Macaca fascicularis: one gene and its partners. The protein of the gene in region 1 purifies or fractionates together with the protein of each later gene. This does not show direct contact. Links are inferred from orthologs where the notes say so. Each region holds a gene or a part of one and is shown on either strand. Other genes may lie near its edges.

Evidence for each region.
Region 2: the proteins of VTI1B (region 1) and STX6 purify together in Homo sapiens (affinity purification with mass spectrometry; 3 studies listed by BioGRID and IntAct, counting the BioPlex papers as one, with this or other methods). This does not show direct contact. The link is inferred for Macaca fascicularis from reciprocal best matches to the Homo sapiens genes VTI1B and STX6.
Region 3: the proteins of VTI1B (region 1) and NAPA purify together in Homo sapiens (affinity purification with mass spectrometry; 3 studies listed by BioGRID and IntAct, counting the BioPlex papers as one, with this or other methods). This does not show direct contact. The link is inferred for Macaca fascicularis from reciprocal best matches to the Homo sapiens genes VTI1B and NAPA.
Region 4: the proteins of VTI1B (region 1) and VAMP4 purify together in Homo sapiens (affinity purification with mass spectrometry; 4 studies listed by BioGRID and IntAct, counting the BioPlex papers as one, with this or other methods). This does not show direct contact. The link is inferred for Macaca fascicularis from reciprocal best matches to the Homo sapiens genes VTI1B and VAMP4.

The regions. Positions count from the first base shown.
Region 1 is NC_088381.1:135,574,542-135,582,851, forward strand, and holds the start of VTI1B (vesicle transport through interaction with t-SNAREs homolog 1B), read right to left. Parts: upstream 5,150-8,310; 5' UTR 4,996-5,149; coding exon 4,881-4,995; intron 1-4,880. UniProt on the Homo sapiens protein: V-SNARE that mediates vesicle transport pathways through interactions with t-SNAREs on the target membrane. These interactions are proposed to mediate aspects of the specificity of vesicle trafficking and to promote fusion of the lipid bilayers.
Region 2 is NC_088375.1:38,490,931-38,498,504, forward strand, and holds part of STX6 (syntaxin-6), read right to left. Parts: intron 4,763-7,574; coding exon 4,593-4,762; intron 1,995-4,592; coding exon 1,900-1,994; intron 1-1,899. UniProt on the Homo sapiens protein: SNARE promoting movement of transport vesicles to target membranes. Targets endosomes to the trans-Golgi network, and may therefore function in retrograde trafficking.
Region 3 is NC_088393.1:55,517,137-55,524,710, reverse strand, and holds part of NAPA (alpha-soluble NSF attachment protein), read left to right. Parts: intron 1-256; coding exon 257-336; intron 337-2,998; coding exon 2,999-3,115; intron 3,116-7,574. UniProt on the Homo sapiens protein: Required for vesicular transport between the endoplasmic reticulum and the Golgi apparatus. Together with GNA12 promotes CDH5 localization to plasma membrane.
Region 4 is NC_088375.1:29,323,861-29,331,434, reverse strand, and holds part of VAMP4 (vesicle-associated membrane protein 4), read left to right. Parts: intron 1-3,734; coding exon 3,735-3,835; intron 3,836-4,743; exon of another isoform or gene 4,744-4,799; coding exon 4,800-4,879; intron 4,880-7,574. UniProt on the Homo sapiens protein: Involved in the pathway that functions to remove an inhibitor (probably synaptotagmin-4) of calcium-triggered exocytosis during the maturation of secretory granules.

The DNA of each region.
Region 1 (8,310 bases):
ACACCTGGCCCCCATGTTTTATTTTATTTATTTATTTATTTATTTTTATTTTTTATTATACTTTAAGTTCTAGGGTACATGTGCACAACGTGCAGGTTTGTTACATATGTATACATGTGCCATGTTGGTGTGCTGCACCCATGAAGAAATACTCTGTGAGGCTAGAATGGACATATATTATGTCATGATCTCTGTTCTGCAGGTACCTTTGATATTCTCATCCACAACCCAAACTCTGCCTCTCCTCTTATGTTTCTTATTTAAGTTCATCGTTCACCCAGTTGACCAAGTGAAAAAATGCAGACACCCTGGAATCTTTCTTCCTAATTTCTGCCTCAAAACCACCTCTTGGGCTGGGCACTGTAGCTCACACCTGTAACCCCAGCACTTTAAGACGCTGAGGTGGGTGGATCTTAATTAAGCCCAGGAACTCGACAACAGCCTGGACAACATGGGAGACCCTTACTAAAATTACAAAAAATTAGCCAGGCCTAGGGGCATGCGCCTGCGGCCCCAGCTACCCAGGAGGCTGAGGTGGGAGGATCACTTGAGCTTGGGAAGCCAAGGCTGCAGTGAGCAGTGATGGTGCCACTGCACTCCAGCCTGGATGACAGGAGACAGGAGTGAGACCCTGTGTCAAACAAATTCCTGTGTTACCAAGGCAACTGCCCAAAAGGCTCTTAACACAGTCCCCTATACCCAGATTCTTGAGATCTCTCTCATCCTCTGTCTAGCCATTAATGCCCTCCTTCTAAAAGAAAATCCACATCAATCAACTGCTTTAAGTCCTTTACTGACTTTCCATATCAAGTCCAAACGTCTCAATGTCACACTAAGATCCCCTCACAATCTGGCTGTTTCACCTGCCCCATCTACTACTACTTTCCCATATACATTCTAAGCTCCAGAGTTAGGGGTATTCCATTTTTTAACTCCTGTGTTGCCTCTTTGCATTTCCCCTGTTTAGCAAACTCCCATTTAACCCGTTATATTCAGTTTGAAGTTTTTTGAAGCTTCCCCTCTCTTCCCCATGCTCAAGTCCAGCCTTTTTTATGGTCTCTGAGAACTTTATTTTAGAATTAATCACACACTTTGTTGTAAGTTTGTTTACTTTTTTTTTTTGAGATGGAGTCTCGCTCTGTTGGCTGTAATCTCCACCTCCTGGGTTCAGTTAATTCTCCTGCCTCAGCCTCCTGAGTAGCTGGGACTACAGGCGCATGTCACCACACCTAGCTAATTTTTGTATTTTGAGTAGAGACAAGGTTCCACCATGTTTACCAGGATGGTCTCTATCTCTTGACCTTGTGATGCGCCCGCCTAGGCCTCCCAAAGTGATGGGATTACAGGCATGAGCCACTGTGCCCGGCCGTTTGTTTCTTTTTAAGGTAAGTACTCTGGAAGTCTTCAGGACCCAGACAGTGGCTGATACATAATAATTCTCAGTGTTTATTGAAAAATAACTTAATTCAATTACACAGCATAAGCTACATGCAAGGGCTGTATTATGTACATTATGCTGTGCCTAATAATTCATGATGGGCATTAAAGTGCTGAAAACTTTATGATGTGGTCTCTGAACTAGAAAAAGACGGATTCAGAGATGAGGCACCATGTGTTTGCTTAGATAAATTCAATTTATTCAACAAATATTTATTGAGCAGTGTGAACGAGGCAGTGAATAAGAGGTAAAGTTGCTGGACTTCTTATTACAATTCTAGGGATATGTATATACTTTATTTACAACTATGTCTGTTGCCAGCAACTTAGAATATTTTGTGGTTGGGTAGAAATTCACCTATTTCTGCTGAGCACAGTGGCTCACGCCTGTAATCTCAGCACTTTGGGAGGCTGAAGCGGGTGGATCACTTGAGGTCAGGCGTTTGAGACCAGCCTGGCCAACATGGTGAAACCCCATGCCTACTAAAAATACAAAAATTAGCTGGGTGTGGCAGCATGCGCCTGTAATCCCAGCTACTTGGGAGGCTGAGGCATGACAATCGCTTGAACCCAGGAGGTGGAGGTTGCAGTGAGCTGAGATTGTATCACCGCCTGGGTGACAGAGCAAGACTCTGTCTCAAAAAAAAAAAAAAAAAATCACATATTTCCGACTGTCCTCTTTGCAGGATGGAGAAAAAGGCTGGGGAGACAACAAACGTGAATGTAACTATCTTAGCTTTATGTTGCTATAACAGAATAGCTGAGTCTGGGTAATTTATAAAGAAAAGAAATGTATTTCTCAGAGTTCCGGAGGCTGGGAAGCCCAAGGCTGAGGGGCCTGATTCTTTCAAGGGCCTTCTTGCTACCCATGTGTCACCCTATGGCAGAAGGTGGAAGAGCAACAGATCAAGAGAGCAGGCAAGCAGGAGAGGGCTGAACTAACCCACTCTCTCAGCAACCAACCCACTCTCAGGATAACAATCCAATCCCTGAGGATGGAGCCCTCATCGTCTAATCATTTCTTATGGGTCCCACCTCTTAACACGATTAAAATGGCAAATAAATTTCAACATAAGTTTTAGAGGGGACATTCAAACCATAGTAATAATGAATTCAATTTTCTATTTTTCAAGCAATGTTCTTTTGCATTATTTAGCCTTATAGAAATGGGCAATGCAAAAATTAACTCAGTGCCAGGTTGAAAATGCAGTCTACTTTTTTTTTTTTTTTAGACAGAGTCTTGCTCTGTCATCCAGGTTAGAGTGCAGTGGTGCGATCTTGGCTCACTGCAACCTCCAGCTCCAGGGCGCAAGTGATCCTCCCACTTCAGCCTCCCCAGGAGCTGGGACTACAGGAACGCACCACAATGCCTGGCTAATTTTTGTATTTTTTGTAGAGATGGCGTTTCACCACGTTGCCCAGGCTGGTCTCAAAATCATTCAATACAGCAATAATCCTAACTCAGCTTCCCCAAGTGCTGGGATTACAGGTGTGAGCCACCACGCCTAGCCTGCAGTCTTTTCCTTTTTTTTTTTTTTCTGAGACAGAGTCTTGCTCTGTTGCCCAGACTAGAGTGCAGCGGCAGGATCTCGGCTCACTGCAACCTCTGCCTCCTGGGTTCAAGCAATTCTCCTGCCTCAGCTTCCTGAGTAGCTGGGACTACAGGCAACTGACACCATGCCTGGCTAATTTTTGTATTTTTAGTAGAGATAGGGTTTCACTATGTTGGCCAGGCTGGTCTTGAACTCCTGACCTCAAGTGATCTGCCCGCCTCTGCTTCCCCAAGCACTGGAATTACAGGTGTGAGTCACCGTGCCCTGCCTGCAGTCAACTTTTCAATCACATAAATCAGATCCCACAATGGTTCTGCACAATATATTTTAACTGCATCCCATCATATTTAGAAAAAGGCACAAGTCTTTCACCATGGTCCACAAGGCCCTACATGATCTGGCCCTGCCTACCTCTCTCCTTTGCTCACTTCATCCCAAACACATGGAACTTCCTGCTCTTCGTTGAACACACCAAGCTCATTTCCGCTTAAGGGCATTTGCAGTGCTATTCCCTCCTTCTGACACTCACTTCTCCCAGATTTCTGGTTTACTCCCTCTCTTCATTCAAGTCTCAGTTCAAATGCCATCTCCTCACAGAGGACTTTCACAACCGCCCTATTTAAAACTGAAGTCCCGAGGAAAGCGGATCGCTTGAGGTCAGGAGTTAGAGACCAACCTGGCCAACATGGTGAAACCCCGTCTCTACTAAAAATACAAAAAAAATTAGCCAGGGGTGGTGGCGCAACTGTAATCCCAGTTACTCCAGAGGCTGAGGCAGGAGAATTGCTTCAATCTGGGAAGTGGAGGCTGCAGTGAGCCGAGATCGTACCACTGCACTCCAGACTGGATGACAGAGTAAGACTCTGTCTCAAAAATAATAATAATAATAATAAAATAAAACTGAAGTCCCATCCCCTATTCCTTTACTCTTATTTTCCTGTATTCTTTAACACTGCCGCTTAATAGTTATATATTGTTTATCACCTACCCACTAGAATGGGGACGTGCATGTCTTTTTCACTGTAATTTGCAATATTCACCAGCACCTAGAACAGTGCCTGGCACACAGCAGCCTCACAATAAATATATATTAAATACATGCATTTCATTCTCACCAGAGTCATTCAATTCCTATGACCTTGAGTAATTCGTTGAGCAAACACTCAAGCTCTGATCCTTAAATAAAAGCAATAAAACAAAGTTTTGTCCTTGCCATCAAGTTCTACATATCCGGAGGCCAAGAACTATATATAGCAGGTCTTCCTATGGATCTAGGGCCGGAAAACTCTAGCTCCTCCAGACAAAACTTGTAGCAACCTGAACCATGAAATGAAGGGGTAGTAAATAGTCGCAGCAGTAAAAACGTTCAAAACAAGACCACATCTAAACGCCACCATAAGGTTTTAAAGGCCAGCTCTCTACCCTCCAATAACAGGTATATACCAACGCCCCAAATTATGACTCTTTTGGGTTTTTAACCCTTTTTCTGTGCTACAGATCCTCTGTCAGTCTGGTGAAAACTAGACCTGTCTTGAGACTAGTGCTTCTAAATGCATAAAACAAACAAAAACAGCTACGAAAGAAACCCACGCTACATTACAGGACCGCAGATGTAAAAGCCCCTCTGCTCTGTTTGCCGCAGTGGAAAAAAACGAGAAAATGTGGAAGGCCATAGAAGGAACCCAGGGAACTGAACCCCGCGTCCCTGGGCGCGTCCCCAATTCACTCTCAGTGGCAGGGAGACCCGGGGTTGCGACCCAGCCAGCCCTAGGGGGCGTGTCTGAGGACGCGGAGGAAGGAGACGCGGGCCCGGGTCTGGGAGGAAGGTGGGGGAAAATTCCAAAGCGCGCGGGGCCGCGCTCCCCACGGCGTGGCCCACCCGCGCCTCACCGGTCCCAGCAGTCCCCAGCAGCCGCTCGGGCACCCCTTGTAGGTCTTCATGGAGGCCGCGGAAGATCTCGTGCAGCTTCTCGAAATGCTCCGAGGAGGCGGCGGAGGCGGCCATGGCGCAGGACGCGCTCGAGCAGCGGCCACCCAGATTCGGGGCTCTGGGCCCTCTCCTAGCCCGGCGGTCAGCCGCCCAGTCCCGTGGCCATAACGGCGACCGCCGCACCACCGCTGCCCAGGACGAGGCTCTTCCGGGGCCGCAGAAGGGTCCTCCCGAGCCGGAACGCCCACCCTCTCTAGCCCGTGATTGCGGGAGCGCCGGCGCGAAGGCCTGACGGGAAGGCAGCAGACTGCGCGGCCTAGGCGACTCCTGAGGGAGCGAGCGGGGCGAATGGTAGTCGCAGAGCCCGAGAAGTGCCCGGTCCGGGGTGGGGAAAGGCCGCAGAGAAAGGGCCCTAGGGGACCTGCGGGACGGGCAGCTCGGCCGCCTTCCTCCTGGGCCCCGCCGGCCGGCCAGGGGCGGGCGCTGCAGTGCACGCCGGGGGATGTAGTTTGACTCGGAGAGCGTCTGGTGCCGGAGTCGCGCGTTGCCCGGGGTGCCAGGTTTAGCCCGCGAGGCGACAGCGGGCTTCGGCCCGATTTGATGTGTGTTTGCGTCTAGACGTCGTCCTCACTGTCATCGCGCTTTGCTTTGCCACCCTGACCCGAATTCCGCATTTCGCGTTTTGACCGAATGTTAGCTTTAGGCCCTGGAAAGAGCCGGGCCGGGGGCTCTGCCTGCAGTCGGGAGGTGGAGCACTTTTCCTGGAAGGCCCAGCGGCTCCCCAAGCTTTCAGAAGTGGAACTCGGCCGGGCGAGTGGCTCACGTCTGTAATCCCAGTACTTTGGGAGGCCGAGGTGGGAGGATTGCTTGAACCCAGTAGTTCGAGACCAGCCTGGTCACAATAGCGAGAGCACTACCGGAAACCCAAAATAGGAGCCGGGCAAGGTGGCGCGCACTTTTGGCCCCAGCTACCCCGGAGGCTGAAGCAGGAGGATTACTTGAGTCCACAAGGTTGAGATTGCAGAGTTCCCACCACTGCACTCCAGCTTGGGAGACTTTGCTCCCAAGTGGAGGGTGACCTTGTCTCCAAACGAACCCAAAAAACAAAAATTCAAAAGTGGAACCCAGTTAGGATGACCTCGAAATACTCTAGCTGCTAGGCTGCCTCGTGCACTTGTTCACAACAGGTGTTTGTCAAGCGTAGGCATTGCGAGGGATCTGGGCATGTTGGTGAATAAAACATTTACTCTCTGCTCCGGGGGAATTTATAATCTGGTGTGGAAGGTGGGCCTGGCTTCATTAGGTCTCATCTGCCACTAAGTGTCACTTGTTAACAATTACAAGGTCCTTTCCTGCACTCCATGGGTATAAATGCCGGTCTTCAGGTTGGGCATGGTGGCTCAAGCATTATCCCAGCACTTTGGGAGGCCGACGCGGGCGGATTACTTTAAGTCAGGAGTTCGAGACCAGCCTAGCCAACACGGTGAAACCCCCATCTCTGCTAAAATCACAAAAATTAGCCGAGCGTGGTGGTGGGCGCCTGTAAATCCCAGCTACTCGGGAGGCTAAGGCAGGAGAATCACCTGAACCCGGGAGGTAGTGGTTGCAGTGAGCTGAGATCATGCCACTGCACTCCAGCCTGGGTGACAAAGCAAGATCCTATCTCAAAAAAATTAAAATAAATTCTTATTTTCACCGATTTCACGGTTTGCTCAAGGTGTCTGTTCTCAAATGTTTGCTTGGGAGCTCAATTTTAAACTGCCTACAAATATTAAAAGATGTATGAATGCTCAGGAGAAAATGCTTTGCTAATTTATATCTCCTGGGCCCTCATTTTTATTAGATCAAGTTCATTGGCTGTTGATTCAGCACGCTTTGGTTGAGCTCTTAATATGCACTGAGCACAGACGTGACCAAGTCTGAGGTAACTGTCAGTATACTGTGTAAGTCCCACAACACAATGCTGGGACTTGTCACAGTACAGAAATAAGGGGCAGGTGCAAAAAAAAGATTAATAGCCTGGGGCCGGGCGCCATGGCTCACACCTGTACCCCAGCACTTTGGGAGGCCGAGGTGGGACGACTGTTTGAGCTCAGAGTTTGAGGCCAGCCTGGGCAACAAAGCAAGACCCTGTCTCTAATAAAAAAGAAAAGAAAAAAGAAAAAAGAATGGCCCGGGATGATCAAGAAATGTGGGAAAAGTATCTGTGAAGAGTGTCAAAAAATGTTAAGTAGGAAATGGTGAATGAATAATCAGATTATCACACAACCTAAATTAATAGCATGTGGATTGAGATTGCACTGTAGCTAGACTCTGGGACAAATTATTCTTTAGAATGAGAAATCATTGCATAACCATAATAATGAACAGTGTTTTCTTCTTTTGACTGTAATTAAACTTTTAATTCTTAGTTTTTATTCTGGTAAATGAAAACAAAAAATAATCAAAACATTTTTATTTGTCATTGACAGTTCAATATAAATTAAGTAAAACATTAATTAATTTATTCTGCACTATTAGAATTTTTCTAATGTTTCCATAAAATGACCATTTCTAAACATATAGCTTAATGGTCAAAACAAGTTCAATAAAATATTAATTTACAAATATCAGAAGTGAAGACTGTGGTCCTATAATTCTTTCCCCCACCAAAGTTAAAATATAATTGTCATTCCAGGAAATCAAAATCTTTTAGAATAGCACACTCTAAACAAGTGATGGGAACACTACTAATTCCTCAGACTTCCTCTGGCATTACTTTTGATAAAGAGTCTCCAGCCAGGCACAGTGGCTCAAGCCTGTAATCCCAGCACTTTGGGAGGCCGAGATGGGCGGGTCACGAGGTCAGGAGATCGAGACCATCCTGGCTAACCCCGTGAAACCCCGTCTCTACTAAAAAATACAAAAAACTAGTCGGGCGAGGTGGCGGGCGCCTGTAGTCCCAGCTACTCGGGAGGCTGAGGCAGGAGAATGGCCTAAACCCGGGAGGCGGAGCTTGCAGTGAGCTGAGATCCGGCCACTGCACTCCAGCCTGGGCGACAGAGCGAGACTCTGTCTCAAAAAAAAAAAAAAAAAAGTCTCCAAATAAAATACAGAATTTTGGCACATAGACATTTTAGTCTTGTCAAGACAATGTAAGGAAATGCCCCAAAAGATTATTAAATTGACCATAATTACCAATATCAGTCCCTAAGATAATTTTTCTGAATAAAAGAATTGGGTTTTTTCTTTTCGTTTTTAGGATTTTTTTTTTTTTTTTTTTGCTACACTGGTTTTTCTTAAGACCTCATCAGTCTTGGATGCTCGCCCTCAATTCTTCCATAGCTATGTTAGTATATTTAATGTCTTCTGCTATTTTCTTAATCCTTAACTAGTCCCTTCATTTCATGC
Region 2 (7,574 bases), on another chromosome or scaffold:
TCTGAAAACTTCCTAAGTCTACCTTGCAGAAAGAATAAATACAATGATTAAGGTTAAGGACATATGCTTCACTGCAAGGCCCCACTTAAATATTAACGTCTATAGGAGTGTCCTTCAAAAAACCTACTACAAAAAAAAAAAAAAAGAAAAACTTATACAAAATAATTGGGGATTTACTTATCTTACAAAAAATATGTCACCTAACAACAAGGCTTCCTCATCCGAACAGTATTTTGAACTGGCTAGAGATTAAGAATGTCTAATCCAAACACTCACTGTGGATGGGGTATCTGAGGTTCAGAAAGGTTTCTCCCTCATTAAAATGTGGGTTTCTTTATAAACAATTTACATCTATGTATATAGAAAGGCAACTAATGAATAAAACAAGTAACAAGAATATATAAAGTTCAGTGATAATCTACCATTTGAAATAATTTCCAAAGGAAATCACATGATATTAAAGACTTTGGCAAACACATACTAAGGTTCCTGCCTAAGATGACTCTTAAAAAGCCATATGTTAGCACTGGTATGATCCCAAGTCTTTTTATTCAAGGAAGCTGCTTTCTAGTACATATGTTAAAGACAGCTGGTTCTCTTACATCTAGTTATGCTAATCAAATGGCTTAGCCATATAGTTTCAAAATATGAAACATTTTAATGACACAAGATTGTACTTAAATAATATTTTTTCTTAGATTATTTAATAATGGGTATTATTCTAAATAACTTAGAACTAAAGATTTGTTCACTTGGATCAATTTTTTACACTCTGATAGATGCTTGCTTGCTCTGGATAACTCTGGAATGGCTGTCAAGCAGTTACATATGGAAATGTCAGTAACATAGGTTGCAAGAGTTCCAGAAGCAATTCAGATGGCGGAAGAGGCTGCTATCCAAACCCAGTAAGAGTCACTCTTCAACAATGCAAAGTGATTACCAATCAATCAAAAAACCAAATGGTTTCTACAATAGTAATTGTTTTGTTCATCAAGAAATAGAGTACACTAAGAAATAAAAAGTGAGAAAGATAACCAGCTTGAAGAAACTAGAGATATGGACAAGGGTCTAATCATTCAGGATGACACCATTTGAATGTACCCTGCCCAAAGCCAGCAGATTACTGTCTTATTTTTACTCTCGGAAATAAGCCTGACAGGCCGGGCATGGTGGCTCACGCAGGTCATCCCAGCACTTTCCGAGGCCGAGGCAGGCGAACTGCTTGAGTTCAGGAGTTCAAGACCAACCTGAGCAACATGGTGAACCCTGTCTCTACAAAAAATTAGCGTGGTGTGGTAGTGCACGCCTGTAGTCCCAGCTACTTGGGAGGCTGAGGCAGGAGAAACACTTGAGCCGGAAGGCAGAGGCTGCAGTCAGCTAAGATCGTGCCACTGCACTTCAGCCTGGTCAACACAGTGAGACGTCGTATCAAAAAAAGAAAGGCTAAAAACAGATTTCTTTTTCTTCAATCACAGAATTTTGTTTTTTTGAGGGTGCAGTGACATGATCATAGCTTTCATGATCCTCCCACCTCGGCCTCCCATCTTGGTCTTCCATGTAGTTGAGACTACAGGTGTCTACCACCATGTCCAGCTAATTTTTCTATTTTTTTTTTTTTTTTTTTTTTTGTAGAGACGGGGTTTCATCATGTTGCCCAGACTGGTTTCAAATTCCTGGGCTCAAGTGATCCACCCACCTCTGCCTCCCAAAGTGCTGGGATTACAGGCATGAGCCACTATGCCCAGCCAATCAGAGAAATTATATGTGGGGAAGCTCACATTTGATTCATATTTAAAAAGTGGTTTCAGAGGTGACCTATTAGTTTACAATTAAGGGAAAGAGCTCTAAGAAGTCTGGCTATTTCTTATACAGATAACACAATAAGATCATATTCCTTACCCTGACAACTTGCCGAGTACTTGTAATGAAGGCTTTTCTTATACTCAATTCAGTTGCATCGAGGTTAAATTTTCTAGGATTTGCTTCAACTATGCGTAGGTCAAAAAGTCAAGGTAAAACAATTTCATCATCGAAGCCTGACAACATCCTGTTAACTCACTGAATCTCTCACATGCAAACAAATAAAATCTGGCTCACGCTTTCTGAAAACATAGTCAGCTGGACACCAATCATTCTCCGACTTCCTCTGCCTGCAGCCACTGGAGGGAGGATCCCTTTGCCCCAAGACAGAGATGACCTGTCGGATTAAGAAACACAGCCCCCGCTGATGAGCTTCACTACAAACACTTAGGGCTATCTGACCACAGCTGAGCTGGGTTCTTCCTGTTTGCCAACCCTTGTGTCTATCCTTTTTTGACTCCTGATCATCTTTACTAAGCCAGCTTTTGCATGTCTTTTTCTCCTGCCATTCCAAACCACTTCCAATTATGCCAAGATGCTAACCCTACTTCTTAATCTAGGGAGATCAGGCCTTCTTCAGAGAAGCTGCCCTCATTCCCTTACCCTCTGGCCTGGTCCGCCGCACCATGTCAGACACTCGCACAGCTCTCTACACTTCTCTTTCATAGTCTGCAAGTATCTATTTGTGTTATTATTTGATTGCCATCTGTTCCGCATCCCTATCCACTCAAAGTTATGTGAGGGCTGGTATAGTGTTTATTAATCTAATCTCCATAACCAGCAAAATGCCTGGCACATAGTATACTCAATAAACATTTGCTGGTTGAATGATGAGTATCTATTAAAACTTTTGTATTTTCAATCTCACATTTTCTCTATCTCCTCTAACTTTTTTTCCTTCCCTCCTGTCTCAACGGAAGAATTATCTCCCTGTAACTGTGCTTTTGATCCTGCCCCCTCACATATTTGCCACTAATCTTAGAGAACATACTTGCCTTTTAATAATTTAAAAGGTACCCGCGGTCATCATGAATAACAAAAATTTACTCCATGTATCAACTGCATACGAATCTGTGCTAACTATAGGGTGATCCTGACAGAAGCTGGTTTTCTTGATGCTTTATCTCACTTAGAGAAAAAACAAAACAGAACTCAGAGCATGCAAGTGGCATATCTTCCATCTAAAGTTTTGGTTAAGTGGGATTTCCAGTTGAAAAGAAAAGGCCATATAATGAAGTTTTTACAGTTCTCCAGTGCATGAGTCAGATCAGTGGACTCACTTCACATCAACACCATGAATTAGCAGAACAGATCTGCTTTTACTAAATGCAGTTTCATGGAACAAGATGCCTCTTTGATGGACGGCGCCCATTGAACATCACTTCTTAAACATGACAGTCTACAAAAAGATTTTTTGATCTCTAATTACCAAAGTGTAACACTGGCCTATATGTACCTCTATATGATGATGACTGCTGCACTATTACATAAGCTGTTTGCCAGGCACCGTTCTAAACTCTTTACCTGTATAATCCCAATAATCCTATGAGCTAGGTACTCTTGTTATCCTAACTTTCCACTAAAGAGGAAACTGAAGCACAGGGGGTTAAGTGATGGGCCCAAGTAACATGGTAACTGGTTGTGATACTATAACATAATAAATACAAATTTGGTCTCTGCACCTCATTCCTGGCAAACAGCTCCTAGATCCCTTAGAATCTCCAGAGTGATGAGTATCTTTTGTATGTTAATGGCATAACTGATGGTGGGGGGGTTTCTAGATAGCCTCAGGATGAGGGGCTGGTCCCCAGAGAAACCAAGCATGTGATTAGACAGTTGAAGCTTTCAGCCCCCTGCTCAACCCCACCCCAGGGGAAAGGGACTGACGGCTGAGTTGATCACCAATGGCCAACTGATGCGATCAATCATGCCTACGAAATGAATCCTCCCCAAACACCCAAAAGGACAGAGTTCAGGAAGCTTCCAGATAGGTGAACATGTGGAGGTTCCTGGAGGCACCTGAAGAGGGCCTGGAAGTGCTGCACCTCTTCTCCTACACCTTGCAAGCATCTCTTCCATCTGGTTATTCATCTGTACCCTTTGTAATATCCTTTACAATAAACGGATAAACCTAAGGAAACTGTTTCCCAGAGTTCTGTGAACTGCTCTTGCAAATTAAATTAATTTGATCTATGGAGGGAGTTGTGGGAACTCCTATTTATACCTGGTCAGTCGGGAGCACTGGTCACAACCTGGGGCTTGCAACTGGCATCGAAGTGGGAGCAGTCTTGTGGGACTGAGCTCCTAACCTGTGGACCTGATGCTATTTCCACGTAGACAGTATCAGAAATATCATACCGACTTGTGAGGGTAGAGACATTAAAAAAAAAAGAGAAACAGGGTTTTTTTTTTCCCCCTTTACATTGGTGGAGCCAGGACTTGAACACCGGGAATCTGATTCTGGGGTCCAGAGTCATAATCATTACACCATGCTGCCTTTAAATATATATATATTTATAGTACAGGATTTGTCACACACTGTACAAGAATGTGGCTACTCTACCTTAACTTACTGGGCAAATACTTTAAACATATCATGGTACAAGGAAGAGCAACAAACATCAATCAATTATAAAAGAAAATGTTTCAACTACATAGTGGAAACAACTGGAGAAAAACTTGTCTATTTGTCTGTTTACCCAAAATGGCACAGACAGCACAGAAAAGGATATTGATGGTTTCATCAAGGTCCTCTAGATCCCACTCTATGCTCCGGAGGTTGTTTCTCAGCTCGTTGGTGGTCCAGTCGATTTCTTCCCTTGTTGCTGTGGAGGGGTCCTGGAGGAGCTCTGTCCATCTCTGAAACAATCCCTGGGCAGTGTTGACAGCTTTCTGTACCTCTCTGTAATCAAGATGAGGCAAAGGAGAGAAATTACAGGCAACATTCCATGGACAAGTTACTGAAGGATTTAGGCTAACATTTATGATCATACACCATCCTCAGCAACCACCATTCCCACAGAAGGCTCTTCACAGACAAATATCAAAGTTCAAAACTTTGATACACAGTCTGAGTATTATGTTCTCAGCTGATGCTTGGAATACAATATCCATTATTTAAGCAGCTACAATATCAAGTTTGTTGGGGAAGGACAAATTTAATATTTTTCTCTGAACAGACTATACATAACAGTATAATGAAGCAATCCTACAAATCAACTAAAGGGCAATGGGCATTCCCACATGCTTTCACTTGGTGTGATAGTATTAATAATTTATACTCAGATGAAAAAGTTCTAATATAGCCTTTCTTTTCTTGGTATGGGAGGAATGAGAATGCTGGAGGGAAGGTTACTCTTATATAGCTCCCGTTTTATTATAGGTTAACAATTTTAATCCGAGAAATTTTTAAACTCAAAATCTTATTTCCAAACATTATTAGCTTTAAATATACCTACTTTCCTTAATTAAGCAATACCATATACCAGATTAGCGTTTGTTTTTGTTTTGTTTTTGAGATAGAGTCTTACTCTTTTGCCCAGGCTGGAGTGAAGTGGTGCGATCTCGGCTCACTGCAACCTCCATCTCCCAGGTTCAAGCGACTCTTCTGCCTTAGCCTCCCAAGTAGCTGGGATTACAGGCGCCTGCCACCACGCCTGGCTAATTTTTGTATTTTTAGTAGAGACGGGGTTTCACCATCTTGGCCAGGCTGGTCTCGAACTCCTGACCTCAGGTGATCCACCTGCCTCGGCCTCCCAAAGTACTAGGATTACAGGCATGAACCACCGCGCCCAGCCAGATTAGTGTTTTTCTTGTTCAGAAAATGAGACGAGGCCATTAAGTGCTATGATCTAGCGTGTTTTTAGATTAGATATAGTCACAAGATTTTAAGAACTGTTACCCCCACCATTGGGCCAATATCCACCATTTAAATATTATAATCTAATACTACCACATATAAAAGCCAAAAAGGAGTCATTTTATAACCATATGGTCTCTCATGTTTAAAGATGATAATCCCACTACTCCCAAACTATAAGAACTGTTTTGATTCTTCTATGATTTCTTCTGGAACAAAGACCACAAAAAAGTGTTCTAGATGATTATGGTGTTTGTTGTCTATGGCTTTAAGACAGAATTCACACACATCCTATACCCTCTGACGTTTCAAGTACTGGAAAAAAGAAAGCACTAACAAAAATGAAGAAAAGCACCTTACAATATTTAGGTCTATGGCATACTGACGAGAGCTAAGAGGCTGAATGTTAAACAGAGAATACAGCTACTAGGCGCAGGCTGAGTAAATAAGCAAGCCAAATGGACAACAAATCTACCAAGGTCTATTCACATCTAGTTTACAGCTTAGGCAAGTCACCTCACTGTTCCTTTCATGTCAGCCTTTAGACTTTCAGTGCTAACGAGAAACCCTATTTAAGATAAAACGGGGAAGAATTAAGTGAGGTGCAAATCTATTTTCTTTACTCTTTATGGGATCTGGGTGATTCAGTGGAGAAAGAGCTATGTATCATTCCTTAATGCAAAGTAAGTCATCCTTTGGTATCCTGGGGGGATTGGTTCCAGGACCCCCACGGGATACCAAATCTGCAGATTCTGAAGTCCTTATATAAAGTGGCATAGTATTTGCATATAACCTACACACATCCTCCTACATACTTTAAATCATCTCTAGATTATTTATAATACCTAATGTAATTTAAATGCTATGTAAATTGCTGTTATACTGTATTGTTTAGGGAGTAAGAAAAAAAAAGTCTGTACATGTTCAGCAAAGATGCAACCATTCTTCTTTTTACTGAATATATTCAATCCTGAGTTGGCTGAATCCACAGATTTAGAACCCACAGAGATGGAGGGCTGATTGTATTGGTTTATTTGTAAGTACTGAGTATCATCTGCGATAATGTAAGACAGAGTTAAAGAGGTATCTGTAAAGACATCTTTTAAAGAATATAAAATTTATCAATTCTGTAAAGTAAATATGAATTCCTTTTTGAGAACTAGAAGCCTCAAACCAAGAAGCCTTGGGCTAGGGCTTAGGTTTGTTCTCCACCACCAGTACACAATTATGATGCTGGAATTAAATTCTAAGTAGCAATCTACGAACTTCTTTGGTCTCAGGAGACTCCTTTGAACTCTTCAAAATTATTGAAGACCCCAAAGAGCTTAGAGTTATGTGTACTATATATCTAACGCTATTTACTATATCAGGAATTCAAACAGACATTTAAAAAATATTTGTCAACTTTAAAATGTGAGCTTACATGTTAACAATGTTTTTATTTAAAAAATTCTAAAACAAAAAAAATGTAGTGAGAATGGCATTGTTTTACATTTGTGCAAATCTCCTTAATAAATGTGGATTCTCATATCCATTTATACCATCAGTCTGTGGACATACATTTTGGTAGAAGCATATGATAAGAATCCAGCCTCATACAGATATATACTTGGAAAAGGGAGGAGAATTTTAATAGTCTTTTCGGACAATTGTGAATGTACTTTTTTGATAGTATACCAAAACTTGACAAGTGGCTGTTAAAGGTTAGCTGCAATGTGGATCCTAAAACTGTATTAAAGAACTTTTTAGACTTTCTTATTTTACAATAATAATTTTCTTGTTTTTCTTAGTTTACCAAGTAAAATGGGAAGGAGTATCTCAGTCATTAGGGAGCTTTGTTTCCCACACACTACAA
Region 3 (7,574 bases), on another chromosome or scaffold:
GGGGTCGTGGTGGGGTCAGGAACTCTTCGCCCCACAACCCCAGCGAGCACCCAGTATCTACCCCAGTCCTCCTGAATTGAGTGTGCCATTGTATGCAGGGGCGGGGGCCACAGCCTCAGGAGGCCTGCGGGAAGCTGGCTTCACAGGTGAAGGGTGAGGGGTAGGGGCACGTCTGTACCGGCACTGGAGCAGAATGCTTGCTTTCTCCTGGATAGCAGACTAGATTGTCTCCTTTTTTTCTTTCCTTTTTCCCCAGAGGCTCATCCAAAATAGAGGAAGCATGTGAAATCTACGCCAGAGCAGCAAACATGTTCAAAATGGCCAAAAACTGGAGTGGTATGTCATCTCCGCTAGAGCTCCTCCGAGGTGCTCTCCTCCTCCCTCAGCTTCCACTCACACAGGCCTGCCCCAGAGGTTGGCCTTGAGGGCCCCTTCTCTTTTTATGCCATCTCCGTCATCGGAAAGCCACTGGCCTGCTCTCTAATTGTTTTGTGCCTGCTGGGTTACTTTATACTCTGGGTCATGGGGCCTTGGAGAAAGGACAGAGAGGATGGGAATAAATAGATTATTAGACCTGGATAAACCCATGTGGATTGATGAGCTCTTAGAGTCCTCCTTAAATTCAGAACTTCGGGTTTCCTGGTAACTTCCTTAGTGCTTCCATCAGTGTCTGAATTCTAGGCTGGGGTGGTGGCGGGGTGGGGGGATGTTCAGGTGATTCCAATAACAACATGAATCATGGCTACTGTTTGTTGAGTACTAAGTGCTCATCATTTAATGGCATTAGCACAGCAGCCCTAAGGGTCAGTCTGTAAATATCCCTGTTTTACAGATTTGGAAACTGAGGCTTGGCTTAGTCTTTTGCCCGGGGTGCCAGAACTAGTAAATGACAGAACCAAGATTCAGAAACCAAGGCTGTTACTGCAGAGCCTGAGTGTTTAACCTGCCCCAGTGAGGCAGGAGAGCTTCATGGAGGAGAGGGGTGGGGAGGAGCCCCTTGGGCCCAGGGAGGCTGGAGATCTGTTTGGGGCTCCCTGCAGGCCCAAGAAATCCAACAAGCCAGTGCATTGAGCCCTTTTGAAGCCCATTTCATAATACATCTTTCACGTCACCAAGATCGAATTAAGGAAATACAGCAAGAGACCAGTGTTTGAACACAGGGAGACACTTCCTGACTGTGGAGGAGAGGGGACCTAGTGGTAGGACCATGGAGGCAGGGCGCAGAAGTGCACAATAAAATTGATTATCATCATTTTGAGAATGTTGTTGGTTTCCCAAAAATTCAAAGAGTTACTCCTGAGTTTTCATAAAATACGTTGTGAATAAAGCCAAATGTTCTGTGTATTTTTATGCTCCCAAACTAAGAAAATTCCTCTAGAGAAAAAAAGTTTATTTTTTTAATTACATAGGTGTTGCTTTTCTCCTAAAATTTGTTACCTCTGCCCCCCAACTCTTCAAAGAAAAGCCCTAGGCCATTTTCCCCCTGGTATTATCCCGTTTTCTTGAATTTTTTTTTTTTTTTTTTTTTTTTTTTGGAGACAGTCTTGCTCTGTCGCCAGGCTGGAGTGCAGTGGCGCGATCTCGGCTCATTGTAACCTCTGCCTCCCTGGTTCAAGCGATTCTCCTGCCTCAGCCTCCCGACTAGCTGGGATTACAGGCATGTGCCACTATGCCCAGCTAATTTTCGTATCTTTAGTAGGGACAGGGTTTCACCATGTTGGCCAGGATGGTCTCCATCTCCTGATCTCGTGATTCGCCCACCTTGGCCTCCCAAAGTGCTGGGATTACAGGCATGAGACACCATGCCTGGCCGTAATTTTATACTCAAATTTGGAACTCTTGAAAATAATAATGAAATCATATAGTGAAAATCTGGAAGGCTTTGTCTCTTCTGCTGCTCAAACTTAAGAGGATGGGGCTAGGCCTCCTGGTCCTCTTCCAGCTCAGAAACTCTGACTCAGATTCAGCTGGAGGAGAATGAAGGGGAGAAGCCTCAGAACTGAGCTGGAGGTGGTCAGCTCCACGAGGAGGAGGAGAGACACTGCTGCCTCCCAAACGTCAGTTAGGAGATGTGTGGGCAGAATGGCTTGGGACCCACAGAAGCTGACTGTGTGCAGATGAGCACAGGACAGACGAGGCTTCAGGCGCCGTCTCTTCTGCCCTCCCCCATTGGCATTGGTCTGCATGTACTCATTCTTGGTGTCCACATCCTGTTTCCCTCTCTGGACGTGCAGTTCCTGGAGGGAGCCGGCTCTGTGTTGTCCGACCCCAACTCCATGAGCCTCACAATTCACACAGGTGCCTTGTCCTTGGGGATCTGCAGTGAAGGGAACAATGTGAACGGAGGCAGAGGAGTTGGGTGAATCAGGAAGAGCTTTGGGGAGCTGTGGAGAAAGAAACAGGACTTGGAAAGGGGAGTAGATGGGAAGGTGTTATGTGGTTTAATCTCAGTTGCTCCTTGCTTCCCAAAATACCCCTCCCAAGCCACCCCGTGATTCAACCTGCACTTTGCCTTCTAGTGGTGGTTCTGGGCCCTGTGCTTTGAGGCTCCCCTAGGGAGGACTGCCCAGGCTGGGAGGTGCAGGAGGCCACTCACTCTGTTTTATATCCTTTCCAACTCAGCTCTGTCTGCCTTCTCCTTGGATCTTTAGAAGTGGTGGCCCTGGAAATACCAGCATAGCTGGGATTAGGGACATGGCATTTTACCTGGGCTTACCCTGGCTCTCTTTCCATATACCTGGGGCTCAGGGGCTTCCCCTGAGGCAGCTTCCTGCCGCCCTTAGAGACTGTCAGGCACACCACCAGGAGCCTCAGTGCAGGAGCCAGCAGACCTGAGGTCTAGGCCTCAGTCTGGGCTCGCTCAGGTCACCCTCGTCCTATCTTGGGAACTCTTTCCACATTTTCAAGAGCCCGATCCACCTCCCAGGGCAGTGCCTCTGTGGCTTCATAAAGTGTGGAGCCCCACTGAGGCCGGGACCACCCTTCTCTTCTGTTCCAGCTGCTGGAAACGCGTTCTGCCAGGCTGCGCAGCTGCACCTGCAGCTCCAGAGCAAGCACGACGCAGCCACCTGCTTTGTGGACGCCGGCAACGCATTCAAGAAAGCTGACCCCCAAGGTGAGGATCTCTGTTGGCCACAGGGGCTGCCTGCCTGGCCCAAAGCGCCGTCCTAGCACCCTGCATCGAGTCCTCGGGTTTCCTGGAGGCTCTGGTTTTTCCAATGGCCGACGTGATAGGCTGGCAGGGACGCGCCTGAGGTAGAGTGAGCTTTGACTTCAGAACTGGCTCCCTTCCTTGTGGTTGGCATTCGCGCCCTGCTCAAGTCTCCGCCCCCTGTCTACCCTGTCGGTGCAGCTGATCACCCCTTCCCAAGCCCGGAGCATTTGGGAGTGGGAGTTCCATTGCAGACCCACCGCCTGCCGGGGAGAGAGGAAAATCTGTTCTGTTGTCAGAATTAACATGCAGAAGGGAGCAGGGTGGGGGGGATTTCTGAGACCAGCCAGGTAGGAGTTGCTGCCGAAAAAGGAGCGGAAATTAGCCCAACCTGGCTTCCCTACATCCTGGGGAGGAATTAGAGAGAACAGAGCCCGAGATATAGTTGCCAGAGAACAAATTACTTAAACTGAGAGCGTGTTAGGGACAGAAGCCCAGTTTGGGGCTGACTCATGGTGAGAAAACAGTTTTTGTCCCCCTGGGTGCCTCCTGAAGAGGAAGCCCAGCCCAGTGTTTGTATGGGGCGGGAATTTTAATTTATTTTTTAAAATCTTGGTGCTAGGTACAGGTTGCTAATTAGAAAGCACAGGCAGTTTTTAAAAATGACCATCTACTGTCACTGTCATCTCAGGGGAATGGAAAATATATAAATCTTTAAAAAGTAAAAAGCAGCTAAATGATCTTGGAATAAGGGTCTGTTCTTCCCAAGAGAAGACAGATTTGCAGCAGTGCAGGGCGCTTCCTCCATGGATCAGCGAGCACTGGTTCACACACCGTATTTGGGAACCGCTGGCATACCCCTTTGTCATGATCTGAGATATTAGTTCCCAGACGAGGATGAATTTGTGTGTTGACCAGTAGCACTTCTCTGTCCTTAGACTAACCAGTTGCTCCTCACCAGCCGAGCATCTCACACATTGGCCTCAGTGGTCACATGGTGGGGCTCAGGCCTGGCAAGAGGCGGAGGAGCAGCCTTGTAACTGGGTGGGCCGTGGAGCTTGCCTGGCTGGTAGCACGGGGCCACAGCGGGCTGCGTGGGTGATGCAGTGATGACCCAGGGAGACCCTGAGTTGGTTTTAAGCTTGACTTACCCCAGGAAATCTCCATGCCTTCCATTAAGCTGCCCCGCCAAGCCTTTCCTTCTGCTCCCTGGGAAACTGGTTGGCCTAGAGGCGCTGTCTTAGCATCTGTGATGTTCAGCTGCTGCCTCTTCTGGAGTGACTAGAAGGACTCTCTGGGGCAGCACTGAGCGCCAGGCTGCAGAACAGTGAGTGCCATTTGCTCTTTCAGCAGACTCTTCACTTCCTGCAGACAGGCCCTACCTGGCAGTGGGATATGGTGGGGTCCGTCCCCTGTGTTTGATCTGAGCTTTTCTAGCTCTCCAGCTAGACTCTGCAGGGTGTGGGCCTGGAGTCTGGATGTGGCCCTTCCCTTGCCTTAGGAAGCTCAGAAGGTGGCTGAGGACTCTGACTGGTAGGAAAGTATAAAGATGATGCCACATCCAGGGCACAGAGGCCGACTTGCGCAGAGCTGAGGCTAGGAGGGGGAGAATTTGGCTAGGGGAGATCTTTCGGGGAAGAAAGGGGGCAGTTCTGAGAGGCGAGCCTCACTTGAGTAGAGCTGAGAGCAGGTGCCATGTCCAGAGCCCTGGGGAGGTGGTGCTGAGCAGGGAGGGGTGTTAGCGCAGTGTCCAGAGCTACAGCCTAAAGATGCGCACCCCAGCCATGGCTCCCAGTGGGGCAAGGGGCACACTGGCATCAAGGGCAGCGGCTGCTGTGTGTCTGAGGCTAGTCAGGCCTTACAGAAGGCCAGGTGCAGTGGCTCATGCCTGTAGTTTCAGTGCTTTGGGAGGCTGAGGCAGGAGGATCACTTGAGCCCAGGAGTTCAAGACCAGTCTGGACAACATAATGAGATCCTGTCTCAAAAAAAAAAAAAACCACCTCACAGAGAATGTCATGTAGCAGCTGTGTGTGGCTCAGCAGTGCAGGTGGTGGATGGTCTGGGAGGACCCTGCCTCCCCTGTGATCCTGGGCAAGTCAGTCTCTTGGGCCTCTGTTTCCTCATCTGTTAAAGCAGAGACTGCTGTGAGATGATGGAGTCATGCCCAGCGCAGCACCTGGTGTGTGATAAACTTCCAGTCAGGACACCCTTGGCTTTCATCAGTCCGGGGGCCCCTGCCTGCCCTGGGCTCCCCACAGCCTCTGCCCTTGGCCAGGTGCCTTGTGAAACAGCTCTGGACGCCCAATTTGGAACCTTGCCTGGCTTCCTGGAGCAGGTGGCCGGCTCCCTGGGGCCCTCGTCGTCACTGGTCTCCTCGGCAGCCTAGAAGTCCTCTGTCTTGGGTCAGCACTTCCTCCAGGACTCTCTCCAGAAGGACCTGCCCCCAAGTGGCAGCTGGAGTGTGCCTAAGGCCCGGCTGGGCTCCTGAATTCCTCTCCCTCTACAGAGGGTGGCCTGCTGCCACCTTGGTGGCTCTGGGTGGGGAAGGGTGATGCTCATTTGTGTTATTGGTTCCTCGGTTACCCAACCACCGCTGCTGCTCAGGGCAGACTGGGGCCAGCGAGGCCTATTCCTGGGCCTGACTGATAGCTGGGGCTGGGGGTAGTGTGTATACCTGGGGCAGGGACGCGGCCCAGCCCCTGCTTGTCCCCTATTTCCTCTCTAGCTGCCATTTACCGGGTTCCTACTGTATACCAGATGCTTGGCATCTTTTAACCCATTTGATTTCTTTGTGCATTCTGTGATTTGCCCCCATTTTACTAAGGAGGAGATGGCCAAGTGTAACCAGGAAGGGCTCAGAGAGGCAGAAGTCAAGCTGGGCATCGCTAGTAGGAATGACTGCGGGGATGGGCAGTGGCCAGGGCCATAGCTCCCCAACTTGGGCTTTATTGCTCCGAGCCCCTTTCCAGCCCTCTGTGGGTGGGTGCAGGAGGGGCCGGGCCACAGAGCTGGGTGTTGCTCCACCTGTCCGAGTGCACAAGGCCTGGTGACCAGAGATAAGAGTAGCAGTCATGAGTGTGTCAGAAGCTCGTCCAGGAGCCAGCTGGCCCAGGTGTCTGCTGGTGGTCCGCTGCTTTCCAGGCATGGAGGAGACTTAACCCCGTGAGTCCATGTTGCTGCACGGGGGGTAAGCTGTCTCCCTGCTGCTACTGCAAGGGCTGTGCCATGCTAACAGCGGGCGCTCCAAAGCCAGTGCCAGCAGGCCCAGGTGGCAGCTATAGATCTCACTGCTCACTGCAGAGCAGCAGCCTTTGCTGCCTCAGCCTGCAGGGTGCCAGGTTGGTGTCCTGGCCAGAAGAGTGAACCAGTGAGCAGCCCGGGGCCACCAGGTGGAGGCTGCAGCCAGGTGGGGCGGGGCAAGGTGGACCGCTCACTTCACTCCAGCTGCTGCTCCCCTCCTCTGCAGCATGGCCTGGCTCAGCCATTGCTTCTGGGCCCACCGATTACAAGATGTGTGTGTCTTCAAACTGCCGGGTTTAGGTTGTGTTCTCTCCCCATCCTCCTCCTTTGCCCCCTTTTTGCCACCTTTCTCTCTTTCTGCTGCCACAGTCTCTGTCTGTCAGCTCCGGAACCTGGACTGAGTGCTGTACCTTCTGTCAGTCCCTTTCGGATCCCCAGAGGTCTTTCCGAATTGGACAAAACCTACAGACCCCAGTCCCCAGAGGAGTGCTTATGGATCCCAGTGTTCACATGTCAGAAGGAGGGGTTGGAATCCCTGAAAGCCTGGCCACAGGCCTGAGACTAAGAGCCTCTGTTCAGATGCCTCCCCATGGAGGGGTTTTGAAGTCCCATCCAGACCTCGAGCCCCTTGAGAGCTGCCCAGCCCCGGCGCTTCTTGGTAGCACCCTCATCCCAGGCGAACATGGCATGGGTGACCATGGAGACCCCCACAGTGACCAGGAACTTTCAGATGCCCAGGCTGCAGCTCAGAGCCCATGCCCTATGACCTGTCCAGGCTCCCTGCCTTTCCCTCTCCCCAGCCCAGGCCTCCCTCCCCACAACACCCCTGTTCTCCTGAGATGCGCTAAAATGGTGTTCTTAAAAAATACCCCCTGAGAGCTCATTTCTATCTGCTAGAAAATGCCTCCCACTCATGCGTTTCTCTCTCCTCCAAATAACTTGTCAAAAAAAAGCCTTTCCCAAATTTAAAATCTTGCAAGAGATAGTACAACAAAGGTAGCCCAGTTCTTCCTCAGTGCCATCCTGGTGTGTTCAGGTTTTTTGGCAAAACCTTTGAGGAGCTGGTGGGTGGCAGGGCCAGGTTAAAGGGACTGAGAGCAGAGGGCTCCCAACTGCTGAGATATGAGGAAAAGGGGGCAGTGGAGAGCACACCGAGGGCTCAGTGTTCATGACATCCAGCCTC
Region 4 (7,574 bases), on another chromosome or scaffold:
AGCCTCCTGAAGTGCTGGGATTATAGCCCTGAGCCACCACACCTAGCCATAACTTTTTAATAAATGTTTTTTGAGTGAATGATATATTTAACTCAGATTTGAAAATGTTTGTTAAATGCTTACCTTGTACCAACCACATTTCACATGACCTGGGAAATAAAGGGATAAGTGGGTCAGTCTCTGTTTTTAAGGCATTTGTAGTATAACAATGGGGACAAGACCAGTGTGAAATACAAATAGAAATCAAAGGACTATAACTATTGTGAAAATGTAAAAGATCGTGGGGAAGTATGTTATCACTTGCTTTGTAAACCAAACTATCTCCATATTAAAGTAAATAAGTAGATCATTTTCTTTATTCTACAAAAATTGTGTTCTGGGTGGGGAAATATCCTGACACACAGAAAACAGTCATGAGATTTTTCATCATTGAGTGAAGGTTACACAGTAGCTGGATTCAGAGTGTTACACCAGCAGATAGTAATGTGTGAAGGACAAAGCAGCAATAACTCACGAATCATGTAGCAGAAAAATTAAAATATTATTTGGGGTTTCCATTATCAATAGTGATTTATTACATGTGTGCCATGTTGTTGGAATACTTGTAGGTTTATGATACTCTAGTAAGAATCTGGAATTTTATGGGTCTGTCCCAATTAATCTGCCTATATCCATGGAATGTTATCCTTAAAGGGTTTTGTTGGGGGTTTTTTTGTTTGTTTGTTTGTTTGTTTCCTTTGAGACAGGTCTCACTCTGTTGCTCAGGCTGAAATGCAGTGGTGCAGTCACAGTTCACTGCACCTCAACCTCCTGGACTCAAGGAAATCTCCCACCCCAGCCTCCCAAGTGGCTGGGACCACAGGCACATGCCACCATAACCAGCTTATTTTTAAATCTTTTTGTAAAGACGGGGCCTCACTGTGTTGCCTAGTCTGGTCTCAAACTCCCAGGCTCAGTGGATCCATCCGCCTTGCAGAAGTGTTGAGATTACAGGCATGAATCACCAGGCCTGGCCTTAGAGAGATTCTGGGACCATAACTATTTTATTAGCTTTTTGTTTTCATTTTAAAAGTATATATAATGTCTACGGCCATACCACCCTGAACGTACCCAATCTCGTCTAAAAGTATATATAGTATATGTATATTAATATCCATAATAGCTATAATCTGATCGTGTGTAGGAGCCTTAGTACATTTTGTCCATTCCTGTCCTGCCATAGCACCCTACTTTAAGCCATTAATTATCATCATTTGCATATGACAAAAAAAACTAGCTGGGAATTTCAAAATTGATCCTTGATGAACAGTAGCTTTACTTTTGTTTGTAGTTAAATGGAGGTCTCTACACTCACTGCTTTATATCTCCCCCTCAAGTAGCTGGATATGCTTTATAGGATTTATACTCAAATTGTTCATTTATTCAGCAAATATTTGTTGAATGGCCACTGTGCCCCATGCACGACTATAGGTACTGGACTTACAAAAGTGAACAAAATAGGCAAGGTCACTGCATTCATTGAGCTTACCTTCTGGTGGGGAGAGGCAGAAAATAAGCATGTAAATAAGTAAATAGGTACAATTACTATCACTTTATATTTGCTTACATGCTATAAATAAGATAGAGTAATGGGGTAGAGCATGCTGTTTCACAGCTATAAGGTTAATACAGTGCATTCAATGTACGTTCGAACATATGTTCCGTAAGGGCTGGGATTACTTGTCTATTTTGTTCAATGTTACTTCCTCAGTACCTAAAACAGTACGTAGTAGGTTCTCGTTATTTGTTGAAGAAATTAATTAGTTGTGTATTTGTGCCATTGTTCTTAAATAAGATGAACACCTTCAACTCTCTACTTAGGGGACTGGGAGTTGCAACAAGATGTCTTAGAGACTTAGGGGTTCTTTCAGATCTGTTTGGACAGAAGAGAACTCTGCATGCCCAACTTGGTTGAGCTTCAGTCTTATATCCTCCAGTGGAATAATATGTGGGAAGCACAGAACTCTGGGATGCTGTGAAAAATCTTGAAGTTTATGTGTGGGTAATCAGTGGGTGTACATAATGCTTTTAACCTGGGATGGAGGTTACTGTCATCAAGCTTAGTAATTGCTACTTGAATCTGAGAGTACTTCTGAATCCACCTATGTCTAAATGGGCCTTCATTTTGTTTTTATAGCAAATTTTTTAAAGAACTAGCTCAGTGATCGGAAAGGATAGAACTCTTTCAAAATTAAACATGACCGTGCCTCACTCCTCACTTACTACATTAGTTTGGGGACTTGTGTGGGGTAGAGGGCGGAGACCATATCTGTGTATTGTAAAAAATTGTTAAAGCCCCCTACTCACTTCTTCCTTTTCCAACTAGAAACGCAATTGCATATCTTCATTTATTTAAATATTTATACATTTAATGTTTATAACCGTCATGGACCCTTAATGACAGGCTACGTTTGGAGACATGCATCATTAGGCAGTTTCATTGTGTGAACATCATAGAGTACTTACACAAACCTACAGAGTGTAGTCTACTACACACCTAGGTTATATGGTATGGCCTGTAGCTCCTAGGCTACAAAGCCATACAGCGTGTGACTGCACTCAATACTGCAGGTAATTATAACACAATGGTAAGTATCTGTGTGTCTAAACTTATCTAAACGTAGAAAACATGCAGTAAACATATGGTATTATAACTTATAGGACCACTGTTGTAAATGTGCTTTATCATTGACCAAAATGTTATGCAGCACATGTCTGCAGTAAGTAATCCAGTGCACTTTAAACAGTGTTTAGTTGTGAGGACCATGGATTTGCTTTATTTCTCCTTTTAAATATTTCATTGTTGTGACTTATTTCATAAAGTAATTTAAGATAACTTTTTGTCTTGTGGTTAGAGCCACAGAGGAGAATAAGACACTTAAAATGATTAAACATGTCCATGTTTGTGTACTCTGGAGTTAACTCCTGAATGAGAGTGGATAGCTGAAGACAGTTATTACAATTTTAAGTTTAGGTTAAGTCTTTACTGAACAGCCTGAAATTTGGTTAAAACAGACCCCCATCATCTAATATAAAGGATGAACAAACAATCGAAAAACAGAAAACAATTTTTTCCTTTTTGCTTCCTGGTGGGTTCTTCAAAATATTCCCAGGTGTCCCCAGTTATCTTATACCCTGTTTAAGAAAAATCTGATGAGCAGTGAAGAATTCTACCCATTGAGCATCAGTATCTCTTAGAATATGCCCTACATTTCCATTCTGGAAACTAGGAATGTTTCATAAGCCTTTACCGTACCTGAGCAAAAGGTATGTTAAAAAGTATGTTAACATACCTCCTTTGTTAGCCTTCGTGTATGAAATATATAGCAAAAGTAGGGTGCAGCCTCAATAGCCTGTTGAAAAGAAAACCTGATTATTTTTAGTGAAGCGGTTTAAACTCTGCACTTAATGAGCATGCTGACAGTACATTTAACTTGCTTATGGGTTGCAAGTCAGAAGCAGGGCTAAAAGTAAGCTATCTTTAAATATTACTTTAATTTATATCAAATTGTCTTTCATTATCTGAATACTGAAGCCCACAAATGGAAGAACATTGCTATAAAGTCCTAAATTTAAATTTAATAGTTGAATAATTCTCCGAGAATTTGCTGTTCTTTATTATGTCTAATGAAATTTCAGAAATTGTAAATATTCTCAAAAGAAGGATAAATAATTGTTTAACTTTTTTAAACTAGTGTTCAGAATCAAGTGGATGAAGTTATTGATGTCATGCAAGAAAATATTACAAAGGTAATTGAGAGAGGGGAGAGACTAGATGAACTACAGGACAAATCAGGTACAGATCTTCATGTATTCCTTGATATTACTAATCTGTTTGCTAGTTTTTTTCTTCTACTTATCTAGCCAGCATTTACAAATCTTGGCTTAGGAAACTGGTATTTGGTTCTTAAGTGTATGATTTTAATGGTTTAATTTTAACTCCTTTACTTTGAGTCATCTTATTGTTACATTATTTTTTAATTGTTCATTGGAGAATGAAGAATTTAAAATTTCATTGTTGAAGAGTGAAGAGTAGAGCTGTTTTTTCTTTCGCACTTTGATGTTGATGAACTTTGTGTTTCTCACGATCTCAGGGCCGAAAGACCTACTCACTTTTCAACACTTGTTTCAAACTTATCTGCTATTTTTATTTTATGTTTCATTTGGTAACTTAGTCACCTTTCTTTACTTTCAGTCATTACACCTATAACCTATATACCCATACCTGGCATGTACTTGGCACTCAAATATTGTTTGAATGGTGAATGGCTGAATACCTGATTAATCTTTGACAGACTTAAAAAAAAGACAACCTCGCTTAGTCACTTTTAAAATGTATATTGTTTTCCTTTAAAATCAGTCACTTTTGATATCTTCTAAAAAGCTAACTTCTCTACATGTAATTTTTTTTCTAGAGGTGTGCCAAGTGTTTGAATTTTTAAAGAGTATTTTCTTATTAGAATTCCTAAGCTTATTTATAAGCATTAAGGCCCTAAAAAGACTTTTCTTAATTTTATAATAAAAAAGGATTGAGCAAACTGATCTGCAAACTGTTTTTTACTTTTTGTTTTTGTTTTTGTTTTTTTTATAATGTAGAATGCCAGAGTTTGTGGGTGGAAAAAAGGGAGAATGTTGTTTTCATGCTTAAAAGGGAATAAATTTGCAGAAGTAGAAATTAATATTTTCTTATCTTTGTGTGACTAGATAAAAGAATCCTGTTATGTCGTTTAATCCTTCTCTCCATCCTCTATGTGATATAGAAAGCTTATCGGATAATGCAACAGCTTTTAGCAACAGATCCAAACAACTTCGAAGGCAAATGTGGTGGCGCGGATGCAAAGTAAGTAAATCAGAAGCTCCTGGATAGATTGGTCAGCATCTGAAGTGGTATTCAAACACATGAAGGAAAAAGGGCCTCTAGAGCATAACATCTGTGAGAACAGGGCCTATAACTGTCCTGAGACATGGTAGAAATTCAGTAAATACTTGTTAACTTAATTGCTTTTGGGATAGGGATAACTAAATAAATCAGTATGCCTAAAAGGATGTTTTCATAGATTTTTTTTCATGAGAGTAATCCACATTTTATTAATATTTGGCTACCTCTAGACTTATTAACTTGTAACAAATATACATTTTTTTCTTGAAATTTACTGTTAGTACTTTTTTGAGCAACCTCTAGCATTATATAGAGATATCAAAAAAATAAAGTGAGAGCTAGAGAAAAATACGACTTTTAGTTGAAAGGGGAAATAATAACAGCAGCTTACATATCCGAATCTGTTAAGGCAAATGGAGTTAAGAAAAAACTCCACTTCCCTCATTATTCCAGAAAAATAAAAAGTAAAGGAAATTTTTAACATTTTTAACAAGGAAAACATTGAGAATGTCTACATACTAATATACTCCTCCAAAACATTGTATAGAAATACATTTACTTCTTAAATCAACTGTGGCTACTAATCATTAACAGAAAATGTTTTTCATGTTATATAAGCAAATCTTTTTTTCTGATTCTAGGTATAATTTTTGGCTTTGTTAAAAATTTAGACAAGAACTGTTTTTAGTCTCTCATTTTCAAGTTTAGCAATAACTTTCTTTTCTTTCTTTCTTTATTTTTTTTTTTTTGAGATAGAGTTTTGCTCTTGTTGCCCAGGCTGGAGTGTAATCTCCACCTCCAGGGTTCAAGCGATTCTCCTGCCTCAGCCTCCCGAGTAGCTTGGATTAACAGGCCTGCACCACCACATCTGGCTAATTTTGGGTTTTTTTGTTGTTGTTGTTTTTTGTTTTTTTAGTAGAGACGGGGTTTCTCCATGTTGATCAAGCTGGTCTCGAACTCCCGACCTCAGGTGATCCGCCTGCCTCGACCTCCCAAAGTGCTGAAATTACAGGCATGAGCTACTGTGCCAGCCAGCAGTAACTTTCTAAACCTGACTTAGCCATATGCTAAGGATTTTTTCCAAGAGTTACCTTGGATTTATTTATTTTTATCTGTCTACCTATTGAATTGTCCTACTTTCAGAAGTGGAACTGAGGAAAGAAACAAACTGTTTCATTTCTCCCCTTGTTCAGAATTTAAATTTTCTATTCAAAATTACTTTATTCTTTAAAGAATGAATTTATTTTCTTTAAAGTCTTTTTCTTTTTCTTTTTCTTTTTTTTTTTTTTTTTTTTTGAGGCAGTCTTGATGTGTCTCCCAAGCTGGAATGCAGTGGCGCAATCTCGGCTCACTGCAACTTCTGCCTCCCAGGTTCAAGTGATTCTCATGCCTCAGCCTCACAAGTAGCCCAGGTTCAAGCAATTCTCCTGCCTTGGCCTCCCGAGTAGCTGGGATTACAGACATGTGCCACCACACCTGGCTAATTTTTGTATTTTTAGTAGAGACGGGGTTTCACTGTGTTGGCCAGGCTGGTCTTGAACTTCTGGCCTCAAACAATCTGCCCACCTCAGCCTCCCAAAGTGCTGGATTACAGGCATGAGCCACCACACCTGGCCTAAAGTTTCTATATCTATAGAAATTTACAATCTGCCCACCTCAGCCTCCCAAAGTGCTGGATTACAGGCATGAGCCACCACACCTGGCCTAAAGTTTCTATATCTATAGAAATTTTCTATTCTATGGGCTAATTTGGAAAAACAAAAGGTCTATGAACCATTCACCCCTTCTCTCCCCCCAAACTCATGTACCCCATTCATGTATCCACAAAAAAGATGGTCATAATGAACATTTTGCCTAACTTTTTTTTTTAACCATTTCTAAAAATGTTTGCTTTGTACTTTATGGGGTTTGGGTCAGAGGAATAGTGTGCTTTTGAGGAGGAAAAAACATTGAGTTATATTTTTAAATAGTCATCACCTTGAGGACCTCTGGAGACCATGAATAGCATTGACCATGTAATGAAAACCATTGTTCCATAACATAACAAAGACCATTTACAGTAGCAAGTATTCTTCATTTATTATTTTCTAATGCTTCCTTCAATTTTACTGTACCCCATTAATACTTCATTGTGCTACTATTCATCTGGGGCAGCCTCCCTGTGCCTGCCATTTTCTAGATTGACTTCCATAATGAGTAATTTCTGAAGGGTTTTAAGAAAAAGGATATAAGGGCAGAATACAGATCAGGAGTTTCCAGTGGCTAAGGGGAATGTGGTGCGGTTGGAGACTGACAACAGGTCATGAGGAAACTTGTTGAGGGTGGTGGTGGAAATGTCCTATATTTGATGGTGCTCATGCCTATTAACAGCTGGATATATTTGTCAAAACCTATCAAAAGCACTTTTAGAGGATAAGTTTTATTCTGTGTAAAGTGTATCTCAATATACCTGGCTTTAAAAATAAATGAATTAATAAAATTATTCATGGGTGGGGAAAGAGAATCGCTAACACCTTTTAATGTATCTGGGGGGTCGTGAAGCTCTTATATGTTTAATGCCACACAGATTTTTGTTCATGAGCTTTGGACTTGCATGAATACAATACTGCCATTTGCAATTGTAAACATTTTCTGCCCAGTGTTAGAAACCCAAGGA